Caenorhabditis elegans: one gene and its partners. The protein of the gene in region 1 interacts with the protein of each later gene in a pairwise test. Each region holds a gene or a part of one and is shown on either strand. Other genes may lie near its edges.

Evidence for each region.
Region 2: the proteins of gna-1 (region 1) and acly-2 interact in a two-hybrid assay, tested with the Caenorhabditis elegans proteins (one large-scale study listed by BioGRID).
Region 3: the proteins of gna-1 (region 1) and C06E2.1 interact in a two-hybrid assay, tested with the Caenorhabditis elegans proteins (one large-scale study listed by BioGRID).

The regions. Positions count from the first base shown.
Region 1 is NC_003283.11:10,319,150-10,322,166, forward strand, and holds gna-1 (Glucosamine 6-phosphate N-acetyltransferase), read right to left. Parts: upstream 1,003-3,017; coding exon 505-1,002; downstream 1-504. Other genes in the region: Putative pseudouridine synthase B0024.11, read right to left, coding at 1-226, 277-385; srdf-3 (Polyprenal reductase), read left to right, coding at 1,569-1,768, 1,819-1,967, 2,392-2,583, 2,630-2,895, 2,944-3,017.
Region 2 is NC_003283.11:13,114,829-13,120,660, reverse strand, and holds acly-2 (ATP-citrate synthase), read right to left. Parts: upstream 4,174-5,832; 5' UTR 4,154-4,173; coding exon 4,115-4,153; intron 4,067-4,114; coding exon 3,665-4,066; intron 3,621-3,664; coding exon 2,694-3,620; intron 2,648-2,693; coding exon 1,391-2,647; intron 1,346-1,390; coding exon 1,046-1,345; intron 996-1,045; coding exon 621-995; 3' UTR 529-620; downstream 1-528.
Region 3 is NC_003284.9:8,872,337-8,876,674, forward strand, and holds C06E2.1 (GYF domain-containing protein), read right to left. Parts: upstream 2,513-4,338; 5' UTR 2,441-2,512; coding exon 2,426-2,440; intron 2,254-2,425; coding exon 2,201-2,253; intron 2,125-2,200; coding exon 1,994-2,124; intron 1,904-1,993; coding exon 1,670-1,903; intron 1,264-1,669; coding exon 1,157-1,263; intron 1,106-1,156; coding exon 1,022-1,105; intron 976-1,021; coding exon 754-975; 3' UTR 597-753; downstream 1-596.

The DNA of each region.
Region 1 (3,017 bases):
CTAATGAAATGATGAATGCTTTTTCGATCTTCCTTGCTCAAATCGTCAACTTTTACAAGAACGGGATCTCCTTTCGTAGAGAATCGGTCATTTAATGCAGCTAATGTCTCTTCTGAGATGCAATCTGGCTTAGCAACACACTCTTCGATCTCAATGTCTTCTTTTTTGGACCCAGTACTTTCTAGGACAACATCTGGCGATGGAATGGCCAAAACTGTGTGGTCGGCTGAAAATAAAATTAATTCTAGTAACATTAATTGAGTTTGATTAAATAACCTAAAATTTCTTGAACGATGAAGTCACTGTACATTTCTTTCAGTAGGCAGGGCACAGGAGTGATTGTATGCTCACTGGCATACTCGGTCAATCCAAATTCGGTTTCCATCTAAACTTTATTCAATAAATACATGAAAGAAATCAGACCAAACGATAAAACAAATTATGCGTAAAAACCATATTACAAGACCCCATTAGCAGAATAATCAATGAATTAACGTGTGAAATTTAGAAGCGCTGAGTCATAAAATTGCAATCGTCCTGGAACCCGAATTGTGAGTAGAATGGGAGAAGTTCAGGAACACACTCGAGAGAAATTTTGTAAACTCCGAGAGACTTTCCAAGAGAAACAAGAGTCTTCAAAAGAACGGCTCCTAATTTTTGACGACGCATTTCAGTATCCACGACAACATCTTCAACCCTTCCGCGACTTCCTGCCCCGTGAATGAACTTCATTTCGACAACCAAACTGGCAGATGCAACAACTTTTTGAGAATTGGAATCTTCGATGACGACTATATGATAATTGGGGACCGAGGTCCTCATCGCCTCAAATCGCTTTTCAAATGCTTCCTGATCAAGATTTCCGACCGAAGTCAACTGACTCAGAAGATCAACATATCCTTTCGAGAAATCGTCTTTTGCCAAGGGACGAACTTTAAAATTGTCAGGAAGATTCGAAGGAATGTGTGGAGCTAACACAGACGCATCAAAAATGTGAGACATATTTTCTCTGAAGAAAAGTGATGACAAATCGTTCGAACGAATGAGAAAAACTTAGGAGGAATCTAGCGCAGCTTGCTAAATATTTGAAAAAATGAAAATTAAAATAAGGAGAGAAATTATAACTCGAACGATGCGGAGATTTGTTCCAAATCGACGCAAAAAATAAATAAATCAACGTTTAAAATTGTTCCTAGAACTAGGCCACGGCCACGCGTTCTCTCGGCCATGTACTCCTCTCGGACAAACATTTTAGAAACATTTTACATTGAACGACCTGTGAAATCAAAAGAAAACGTTTTACTTCTTTTTTTCTTTATTTTTTTTTCAAAACTCCAACTGCCCAGTATCTGCCATTGGTTTTTCTATTTACTTTCTCATCGCGCACTTACACACTTGCAGCTGCACTCGTTTGGCGTATTCTCTCCTCAGAAAAAGAAACTCTGCGTCGGCTCCTCCCTCGTCCAAAAATGTTTCCATTACTCATTTCCGCTCTTTTCTTCTTGTTTCCGTTTTTGACTTTATTTTTCTGTGTCCATTGATTTTTCTATACAATTATTCATTTCAGAATGTTAGATAGACTTTGGGAAGTGCGCCAAGCACTGCCCCTTTATCTGTTAGTATCTACGCTTGGACTTGCCATTTCATGTTGTTTTACTCTCATATGTCCTCACGTTTGTCGATTGATACCTGCACTAACTACATATGGAAAAGCTGCTGATCAACAAGAAGATAACTCTTTGGTAGAAAAAATATCTGTACCTAAAAAGTGAGTACAGTTAGTCTTTGGGAGTTCTATCCTTGTCTGAAATTTTTCAGATGGTTTAAGCATTTTTACGCAATCGGTCTTCTAACACTTTTTATATGTCTACACACTGTCCACTCGTTAATCTACAATCCTAATTATCTGCATCCAGTGGTTCTCAAGATTCTTGCCACGCTAACACGATCCTACAGTATACCACCAAGTAAGTTTTTCTTTTAAAAAAAAAGTGATTTTCTTTTTTTTTTTTTGATTAGTGGTTTTTGGAATATATGCGAAGTCGCGACGCAGTTGTATTAATTTCATTGTTTTCAATTTTCAGTAGAACTTAAACTTTTTATTTTCAGTCAAAAAGTGTCTATTACTCAATTTTGTAAAACAACAAAAATATTGTATTCTACAAATGTTATATTTTAATAATGTTTCAAATATTTTATGTAATCACTGTAGGGCTTCAAACATGTGGTGTTGCTTTAAATTTTTCAAAAACTTCAAACGTTTCGTAAATTTAAAAATAGATAAATACCATTTGGCAAATTACCAAAACTTTGACTCAAATTTTCAGAAATTAGAAATTTGATTAGAATATCATATTATACACTTTTAAGTTGAAATAAATATGTTTTCAGTTACCCCAAGCACATCAATCTTGGCTCTCCTGCTCATAAGCCTTCACGTAGCACGACGTCTCTATGAAACAATATTTGTCAGTGTTTACTCGGACAGTCGTATGAACTTGTTTCACTATGCAGTTGGGATAGTCCACTACATCATTCTGCCAATTTCAATTATGTGTGAAACACAGGGAGTTGCTTCCAAATGTAAGAAGATACTTATCTGAAATGTTCTAGTAATTTATTTTCACAGTACCTCAGCTTCACGTGTCAATTGATGATATTTCTCTCACCCAATGGGCTGGAGCTGTCCTTTTTTGGATTTGCAATTGGAAACAACATCAGCTAGCCGAACAAATAGCAAATACAAGAAAAGGTCCTAGAGGACTAATTCGCAATTACGCCTATGGTATCTGCTTTGGTGGTTGGTTCAATCTCGTCTCATGTCCTCACTTTCTATTCGAGATATGCATCTACTTGTCACTTTTTCTTGTAATTCCTGATGCCTACGTGTATAGAGTAAGTTGTCAGTTTCATCCGTTTTTCTTCTAAAAAAATCCGTTTCAGTTCATAATCATGTTCGTGTGCATCAATCAAACGTTTGCTGCTCTCATCACTCACTCCTGGTACCACAAAACATT
Region 2 (5,832 bases), 2.8 Mb from region 1:
TTAAAAGTGCAACCAATAAAATATTCTCAAGTCGACTGGATACGTACGTCTCCAGAATTTATAAGCGGGTTACCATGGAGATGTGAACGAAGGGAACATGAAGATGCAGAATGAAGGACCAACGGCTTCATATTTCTCAATTCGAATTGTTGGGTGATAAAGAAAAGCCCCCTTTTTTCTGAAACATTTCAAAATGTCCTTTATTATAAAACTTTGAAACATTTTGAGTGATTCATCCATCATATTTTCTGCTGATTTACTTACGCAGCCATCAAGCCGAATCGTTTCCCATCTGCACGATTCCGTCAAAAATCCGTTAATTAGAGGGTTGGCAATAAAATGGCTTGACAGATGTCACACACCATTTTAGAAGCTTTCTTTGTCTCACTGACTGTCTGACTGCCCTCTGCTTCCTATCGTTATTGTTGCACAACATCTGCCACTCCACAAAGCTAAGCGTTTTCTATCATTTTTTCCCGCAAATTCTAAATTTATTTTCTGATGATTTTGAAATTTGAAACTCAATAAATCAATGTACAGTTTATTCCTACTTTTGGCAATTTTGGGATGCATTAAAAAGGTAAGTGAATAGGGTGAAGTGGGGGAAGTGATAATCAAATTCACAAGTTTCTCTCTGGCATGATGTATGAAATGTCATCCCAAGGATGACGGTAGAGTCCTTGTTTGAGTCGTGATTGGTCCAAATAATGTCCGATGAATCCGATGGAGCGACCGAGCACAAACATTCCATTCAGAGCACCTATCTCGATAACTTCTTGAGCTTCAGCTGTTGTGAACATCCCACTGTTGCGCAAGATGTCGACGAAGATGATGGCAATAGCTCCATCAACATTTAGAATGAGGTTTGGCTTCTTGGCAGTGGTGATCTTCTCAACTTCCAGAGCATAATCGAGAAGTGGTGTTTCTTGAGCAAACTCCTTTTTGTTCAAAGCAAATCTCTTGAGAATCTCGACACGCTTATCAGGGTTATTGATCTGAAATTATTTCATCAATTATCAAAAAACTGTATTTTCTTGAAACTCACGCTCTTGACACGATGGCCGATACCCATAATATGAGTTCCACGTTTGCGCATTTCTCCGACAAACTGATTTGGAGACCACCCTTGATCGAAAGCCTCAGAGAATTGACGAGCAGCTCCATCGAGAGCACCTCCGAATCGGTCACCGATGGTGAGGAGTCCAGATGTGAGAGAAGATATCAAGTCCTTTCCAGCGCGAGCACAGACGATAGTATTATGAGCACCAGAAACTGCTGGTCCGTGATCAGCAGTGAGCATCAAACAGATCTCTATGAACTTGTTGGCATGTGGAGGGAGACGTTTCTGAAAAAGGAAAATATACAAGGCAAATTAGATTTTTTTTTGAACCTGGAACCACAGCAAGCCTAGAACTCCACCGATTCCCATATCCGACTCGAGGACTTTGGTGATTGGGACGCCAGCATAGTTCAATTCTTCTCCGCGTTCGTCACAAATAGAGGTCATGAAGGAAGCTGGTTTGCGAATAAGCCCGAGTTCCCGAGCCCAGGCATAGTCCATTGGAACTGCAGGTGGTGGAACTTCCGGCTGTGGAACGATGATTTCAAGTCGAAGCAATTCTTCATAAGTCTGACGAATCTTGTTTCCGAGGTCGTCAAACGAATCTGGAACCAAAGCACCAGCAGTACGAAGAGCTGTATTTTTGCATGCAGCAGTTTCTCCTTGTCCATTTGCAGAAGCTCCAGCATGACCGAACTGAACTTCTGAAGTAATGTGATCTGCACATGTTCCAATGCACCAAGCAATGAGAGGCTTCGTGATTTTCTTTTCTTTCAATAGCTCGACAATACGATATTCTTCTATACCTCCAACTTCTCCAAGGAGGACAATCATCTTAACACGATCATCGTGTTGATATCTCATAACGTGGTCGGTGTACGTACTTCCTGGATAGCGATCCCCTCCGATAGCAATTCCTTCGTAAACTCCGTTGGTATTCTGTGAAATAATGTTGTTGAGCTCGTTCGACATTCCTCCTGAGCGGGACACGTAAGCGACACTTCCAGGACGATAAAGTTTCGAAGCAAGAATATTATCCATCATTCCTCCGGTATTTCCGATCTTGAAACATCCTGGCTTGATTCCTCCAACAGTAGCAGGACCAATTAAGGTAACACCCTTATCTTCAGCAATTTTAAGCAATTTTCTTGTTTGATTTTCTGGAACTCCTTCGGCAATAATTGCGATAACCTTGATTTGTGTAAATTGAAGAGCCTCCAGAACAGTTTCAAAAACTGAACGCATCGACGCGAACGTGACCATGACAGTGGCATCTGGATGACTCGCGAAAGCTTTTGCCATAGATTTGTAAGCAGGAATAAGGATTTCTTTCTGTCCGAAATAATACTTTTGCTTGTTGTCTCCAGTGAACGGATAGGTTGAAGCGACGACTGATGGGGAGTGTCTTCTGCAAACAAAATCGAAATCAAGCATTCCTTGAATAGCTTTGTGTTGTTGTCCCCAAATGATAGCCTTTGTGTCGTTCTCGAACAAGCTTTGATGAAGAGGGTGCCTCTTGGCGAGAGGATGTTCGATTGTGGAAGTGTTCGGAGCTGGAGATGCTGGAGGACGTTCCGTGCCTGCAGTCTGAAAACAAAAACTAAATTATTTCCTATGAATAATTAGAACATACGTTTCTTTCTGGGCTCAACAAAAATTGTCCGGTGGTTTGAGGAGCCGTCGGGACTGTTGGCATTGGCTTCAATCCGAGCGCAGCTCCGACAATTGCAGTCATATGAGTTTCCGGTCCAAATACATAAATCGGAATTTCTAGTTTTGTGGCAGCATCCTTGACACGTCGCAGTCCTTCTTGGTAGTTCGGACCACCACGTCGAACGTAGATGGAAACATTATGTTCCTTGAGCTTATCAATGAAAGTTTCGAACGCACGAACGATTCCTCCGAATGTTTTTGCGACATTTGTGAAGTTAGCAATGGATCCACCAATGATGAGAACCTTACCATCAGGACGTGGAGCACCTTCTGTCATGACGGATAAAATAGTCTTGGCGTACTCGTAAGTTTGAGCTTCCGATGGATCTCCAGAATATTCTCCGTAGTTAGCAAGTTCAGATGATCCTCCAAGATCACAAACAGTATCGGTAAACACAACTGATGCTCCTCCACCAGCCACCATGGTCCATACGCGTCCCTTTCTGTTAAGAATAGTCAGCTTCAAAGATGCTCCAGTCTTCGCATCCATATCAGAAATGTATTGCTCCTCCGAAGTCAAATCACGTCCAAATGGTGCCGGGAACTCCAGAGTCGGAGCGATTCGTGCAGAAGCATTCCGACCGCTCCATTTATCCGAGCACAGAAAACTGGCAGTCTCGTCAAGCTTTGCAGCCAAGTCCAAAATATGAATCTTGCCATTGGTGAGAACAAACGGATTGATCTCCAAGTATGTGAAGTGAAGAGCTTTGTAGGCTTCGTATAAGCTGCGAACGAACTTTCGGATATCATCCTTATCACTACATGGCCCGAGAAGCACGCCTAGTTCTCTCTCCGAAATTGACATAGCATTGTCATCAAGTTGAACTGGAACATGGACTGATCTGGCCTGAAAATATGAAAATTTTTGAGAAATAATTACCTACTACAAACCTTTTCCTCGACGTCTCCAATATCAACTCCTCCCTGCTCATAGAACATAATAACATCGCGACAGCGTTCGCTGTAGATCGCGATGTACATTTCTTCATTTTCAGTATGAGCACAAAACGGCTCAACAATAAACGTGTGCAATCTTCCCTCCGTTTGGCCAACTTTCACATAACTGTTTGCCGTCTTGCCGAACCAAGCTTCCAGCTCTTTAGGAGACCCAATCTTAACAAGACCGAGCTTTCCACGACGCTTGATAAGCTGATCCGGCTTGATAACACCCTTGTTGTCTTGTGCAAGCCATTCGTACTTGGCGGCGACGTCAGAAAACTTATCTCCGGCCTTCACGTGAAAAGCATGTGGGGCACTGACAATTCCGGTCGACTCGAAATATTTGTACAAAACCTGCAATTGTTTTTGTAAATCAATCGAATAAAAAATAAAGCTTCATACCTCTTTTCCTGAGAGTTCGCTGACAGCTTTAGCCGACATATCAGTATGGGTGTAATAACCTGAAAATGGACAGTGTTTAATGGAAAACCGGCAAAGTCACGGATATATTGCGTAACAGACGGATGAAATAGAAGAGAAACAGATAGAAATCATTCGAAAAAAGGAGGATTGTGATGCAAGACGACACGCGGTGGCCTACAAAACAGAAAAAGTGCGCTCCTTGTAGCGGCGGAGGCGCTCGAGATCGAGATCAAACCGAATTTATACATATGAGAAAAAGATTTATCGAAAAAGTAGAGAAAAAGAACACTCTCTGGCGTTGACATTTGCATTTTTATTCAAATTCAATATATTTCACTTGTTGACAAGCCGAATAGGGAAAAAACGGTTGAGAAATTATTTGAAACTTGATTTCAGAAATTATTAAATAAATAAAGAAGAAAATCTATAGAATAGCTTCGAGGGAAGATTGTTTTAATTTAAGGTTTTCTATATTCTGAAATTTCAAAAAAAAAAAAAGTTTTAAAACATTTTCCGACGGCTCTGCAGTCACCATTACGACATATTGCAGAAACTACGGTATCCAATACAGTAAGCTTCTAAAGAGACCCGAAGAACTCGGGGGATGTCCAACTGGGGGGATTACTAACTCGGGGGATTGGCCCCGCCCACAGAACCGTGGCTTGCAATACGCCCATTTCTGCAACTGCCGCACGGTTTTAAAACTGTATTTTTATCAATAGAGCGAGGATTAACAAGAAAAAATGATTTTAAAACCGTGCGGCAGTTGCAGAAATGGGCGTATTGCAAGCCACGGTTCTGTGGGCGGGGCAAATCCCCCGAGTTGGTAATCCCCCCAATTGGACATCCCCCGAGTTCTTCGGGTCTCCTTCTGAAGCTTGAAAGAAGCTTCCCTTAGTGAAACTACAATTTGAAAAAACTGAAAATCAACCTACATCTAGCTAATACATTTTAGACCCCAAATATTTACGCACATGCATCAAAAATACATCATAATTTCGCGCAACTTTGGCTAGGCAGTTTAAAGGCGCAAACTGACTGTTTCTAGTGGGTCTCGCCACGATCTCAGTCATAGTGGTTTCTTCAAGTGCCAAATTTTACAAGTTTGTTAATTTGATGTTTAAAAATCCAGGATTAATTATCGAATGGGCGATAAAGGGGAAATACTGCTGAAAATTGCAGACTTTCCAGAAATCCAATGTCTAGGGACATATGTCCTCTTTTCTTTTTGTAATGTCTCGAAGCCGAAACGAGGAGAAACTCTTTATACATAACTTGTACAATACGAAATGGATATATAATAATTGGAGTTCCAATACTACGAATTTCTTGTCACCGGGGTCATGTACTTGTTTCCCACATTTTCATTTCGAATAAACAAAAAAGAACAGAAACAAAACAATTCTAACTTTTGTTTTACTAATCCACTAATCCTCAAAACATTTCATAGTTGCGGAATCGTTTTGGTTTGCTCCTCCGCGGGCTCTCCGAATACTTACTCGCATAAGTTTCCTGTTTTGCTCATGTCCTTGAGCACACGTATTTATTTCTATGTGAATGTGCATACGGGCGGTCCTAAAGATGAGGAATAAGTAGGCATTGTAATTTGAGCTAAAGAAGAAGAAGAAGAAGTCTAGCTCTCTATTCGAACGCCATTTACTTGAAAGTCAAAGTACTTCTAACTTCAAGACCTCTCA
Region 3 (4,338 bases), on another chromosome or scaffold:
CAAACTCTTCTCGCTTTTTAAATCCGTATACACTCTTTCTTATGCTTTTGTTTTTTATGGAAACGTTATTTTTTGCTAGAAAGAAGTTGTTTAACAATTATTCGAGAATCACCACTTTTCTTTTTTTTATGCAGCAATTTTCATCCGGTTTCATTTTTTCATGATCGTAAGTTTTCTATCACCCCGGGTGAACCTTTTATTTAGATCTTTTAGTCAATTTTTTCTGGCTTAAATGCACATTTCCTAGCGCGTCATTCACCGCTTTTCTCTTTGAACTTTTCTTCAAGTCTACGACGTATAAAAAATATTACTTTTTGTTTAGTTTTTAACAGCAGCAGCGGACGGATATCTAGCTTCGCGATGCAAAACTATACTCCTCGTATTTATTGTATGCGTCTATATTTCGTACAACAGAAGACCACAATACAATTTTTTTAAAAATTAAATCCAAATTATTTTGTTGGTAATTTGTTGCCAGTAAATGATGAAAATCAAGGTTTTCTGTAACTGAAAAAATATTGAATTTGGTTAAATCCAATTTTAAACGAAAAAGTAATTATTATGTTTAATTGTTTTTACAGTTTCTGAAATAAGTTATCAATTTACAGTTTTATTTTCCAATAGTTGTCGACAACACGGAAACGAAAACATAAAAAAAAAGAAAATGAGCAAAATATTGCTCATTGATGATTTGAGATCATTTACGGTCACATAAAACATATGAACTGATAAACTCTGTTGAAAGATGGGTAATCATTGTAAAGGAAGTGAAACTCCTGGATAAAAGTTTACGGAATTGAAGCTGGGATTCCAGTCAAATTGGTGGCCAGGAAAATCAGGACTGTTTGCAGAAATTTTGCTCATCATTCTTGCCAGTTTTCTTTCAAATGTGTATCTCTTCACGTCCTCAAAAAGTTTCCGAAGTTTCAAATAATCGAATTCAATTGTAAACGCTCGGCTGCATTTTACAATTGCCTGGAAATTATCTCATGTTGAATAAGGATTAAAAAAGTATACTTACATTTTCTAAATGTATCAAAGACAGAGCATGTATCAAATATGAATGAGCATCTTCCATAACTTTTTGGCAAACGTCACAAACTCTCTGAACATAAACACGTGATAGAAATAGAAAGAAGGTGAAGAAAAAACCCACCGGTGAAAACACTTCGGTTAGAAGAATGTGCAGAAGACTTCTTTCGTCAGGCTCAAGATTACTGTAGTCCATGAGAATACGTCTAGCAAGTTCAACAACAGATGAGACTGAAATAATTAAAATGTCAATTCTGGTTTTTTAAGGATTTTTAGTGTGTAGATACATAGTAAGATTCTTTTAGTATGCTGGTACATACCGTATAGTTTCTATAAGTATTACGTATCATTTTTCAATCTTGGCAGTTTGTACTTAAAAACTTTACAAGTGAAATAAAATATGTGTTAGTTATTTTTCTATAGAGTTAATAATTAATTGATACTTTCAAATGAAAGGAGATATAATTTTTTAAATGAAGTAGTTGGGTGCAATACCAATAGAGAATATACGGTTGTAAGCTTTTCTTGGTATGTAAATACACTTTTTCGACAAAAAACGTCTTTAATGTTTTTACATGTTCTAAGAAACTAAACATGCATCTAACCATACGATATCTTGTTATCAATTAAAACTCACGTGGTAAAACATGCTCCTCGGCTACATCTCCTCTGAACCCAGTGACAAAAGGACAATAGCTCGACGTCGATAAATTATTCAGGAAAGTTGATAAGTTAAATGTTATAAAAGTGTTAGATTCATATTTATACAGTGCTGGATTGGGATGTACTTCAGGCAACGTCCACTTCCCCTTGAATTGCGATAGGCGCTTTGGTAGGAAATCTTGGGTGCCGAAAATATCTTGAAGGTCTTCTGTAAATCAAATGGAAAATTGCTTCGGACATTTTCTGAGGTTGATTGATTGTTTATATCTTCAGACAATAGCAAACTTGTAAAACTCACGTATTGTTCCGAACCATTCCAAGAATCCCGTAGCGCCTTTTTTGCGGGACTCGGTTATTTGAATTCTAGTGGGGAACTTTAGTTTGCCTTCCAGGTAAAATTTGAAGACCGCTTCTGCTGCATACGGACCGCTGAAAAACATAAAAAATCACTCAAGAATTATTTTTTTAATTTTGTAAAAATAAAGGACGTTTTAAAATTACTTACTAAATGCTCCCGTTGTACTGCCAGACGTTGTAGATGAGATCACAGTCTTGGATCTGAATACCATATGGATAATGTTTTCTCGCTCTAGTTCTATTCATTAGTGTGTAATATATACCGAAAAGACAGGCACAAACACACTAGGTGTAAATCTCAAGTATCCCGTTGAAATGAGCTGCGTTTCCATAGAAACGCAGCTGCACGGGATGCGCTAATCTCAGAACTCACACCAGAATTTGACATTTTTTAAATGTTGTGGACAACGACACCAGGAAGCGGAAGTAACAGATTTTATAGATTATATGTCCTCACTACCTGGAAATAAAGTACATTTCGAGAATAAAAAAGAATTACAAAAAAAGAAGTAGAAGAAACAATAAAAAAAAAGTAAAGAGTAGTGTCAGAATTGAAAAGAGTCGAGCCAGTGTTGGAAAAACAAAATACTACTGTTACAAATATGCCAAATCACATTGAAAAACTTTTCAACACTTCTTTGAACTACCGTAGTTTCTCTAATATTATAGTAATTTATGAAATGCTAATTTTTGAAAAATGTTTACCTAAAATAGTTTTCAGAAACTACTCTAATTATGTTTTGATTATTTGAATTTGATATATTCTACGTGTTAAAACGTGCAAAACAGTTCTGAATTTCTTAATTAGTTGCATTAATACAGAATAGCTGGGATACATTTCGCATGGACAAAAAATAAAACATTCGAAATTTAAGCAACACTAATTAATTTTAATGTAACAAATAAGAGTGTATTCTGAAGTTTTGCTAACAAAATATTGTGCCGAATTCCCCAAAAAAAAGCCCTTCTATAACTTAGCAGTGTTATTTGTCTTTAACTTTGTTTTTGGTAACAGATATTCCCAAAAACCCTAAAACTCTAAAACGATTCATTTGTAGAAACATTTTGCCCAGTTTTGATGAATATTTGGATTGATAATAATGAATGAGGACAATTTTTAAATTCTTACAACTTGCTTATTTTGAATAAGAAAAGCGAAACATGTTAATTGCCTAGATTTTCACCCAAAAATAGAAATAATTCGTTAAATTGGAGCACCATTTTCGTTAAGCTAAACAGTCTAATTTTAATGATCTAACTTATTTTTCTTTTAAAAAAAAGTACTTTTAGTAGTATGGGTAAGTAGTTTCATGTTTATGTAAAAATAAGCGTGAGCATTTGTCACAGGTCCTCGAAATGTTTATGCTCATTTTGGAAACATCAATAATTTTTTTTTCACAGTGGATATTGAATTTTCAAAGGTCTTCTGCAAAATATTGAGGTATTATGAAAGGACTACTCACAAAATAACAAATTTTCTCACCGGAAAAGTTGACCGAATATTACAACAAAACCACAGTCGGCAATGAATATCTTTAGATTTTATCTAAAAAGGTATTGGTAGAAAGATTCGATTGAACTGACAACAAAAAAAAATGAAAAAGAAGGATTGGGAATGGTGGTGAAGAAGAATGATAAATGCCGCCAGATCGTCAGCATCTTCTCAAGGACAGAATCGTCTGGCCAACATGAATTTTCCATGCCGCTTCTTTTATCTCGGAGTGTGTGTATGTGTATGAGGGCGGGGGGCAAAAAGAAAACAAAACTCGTTTTTTTTCAATGGGACACAAATTTACAGCATTGACTGTCTGAAAAGAAATTGGCAGCGATGTTCGCTTTTTGTTCACAAAACGTTTTATCACGAAAAAAACGGACTGTCTATTTTTTAGAAAAACTGAGCTGCATAAAATATATGTTCACTTTTGACGGATATTACACAAAACACATTTCAAAATAATCAAGAATTTTTAATTTTCTAAGCCGGTTTACCAAGATTACATTAATTTTCCAAAAAAAAAGAATTGTTGCTCTAAATTAAACCGAAAACACTTTTTCAGAGTTTTAAGCGTTCTACTGTTCAAAATTTTATTTAGCTAATCATTAGCTTAGCAACATTGATTAAGTTGAGGAAAGGTGAACATTCATTGTAAAAAATTACGTAAAGCCGGATGTAAAACAATTAGAAAACGATACAGCGGAGTAGCAAATGCTCTTGCTGTTGTAACACGGGGTGTTTTGAAAATGACTTGGTTTGAAAGTTTCAGTAATTACGGTTTCATTCGTTAC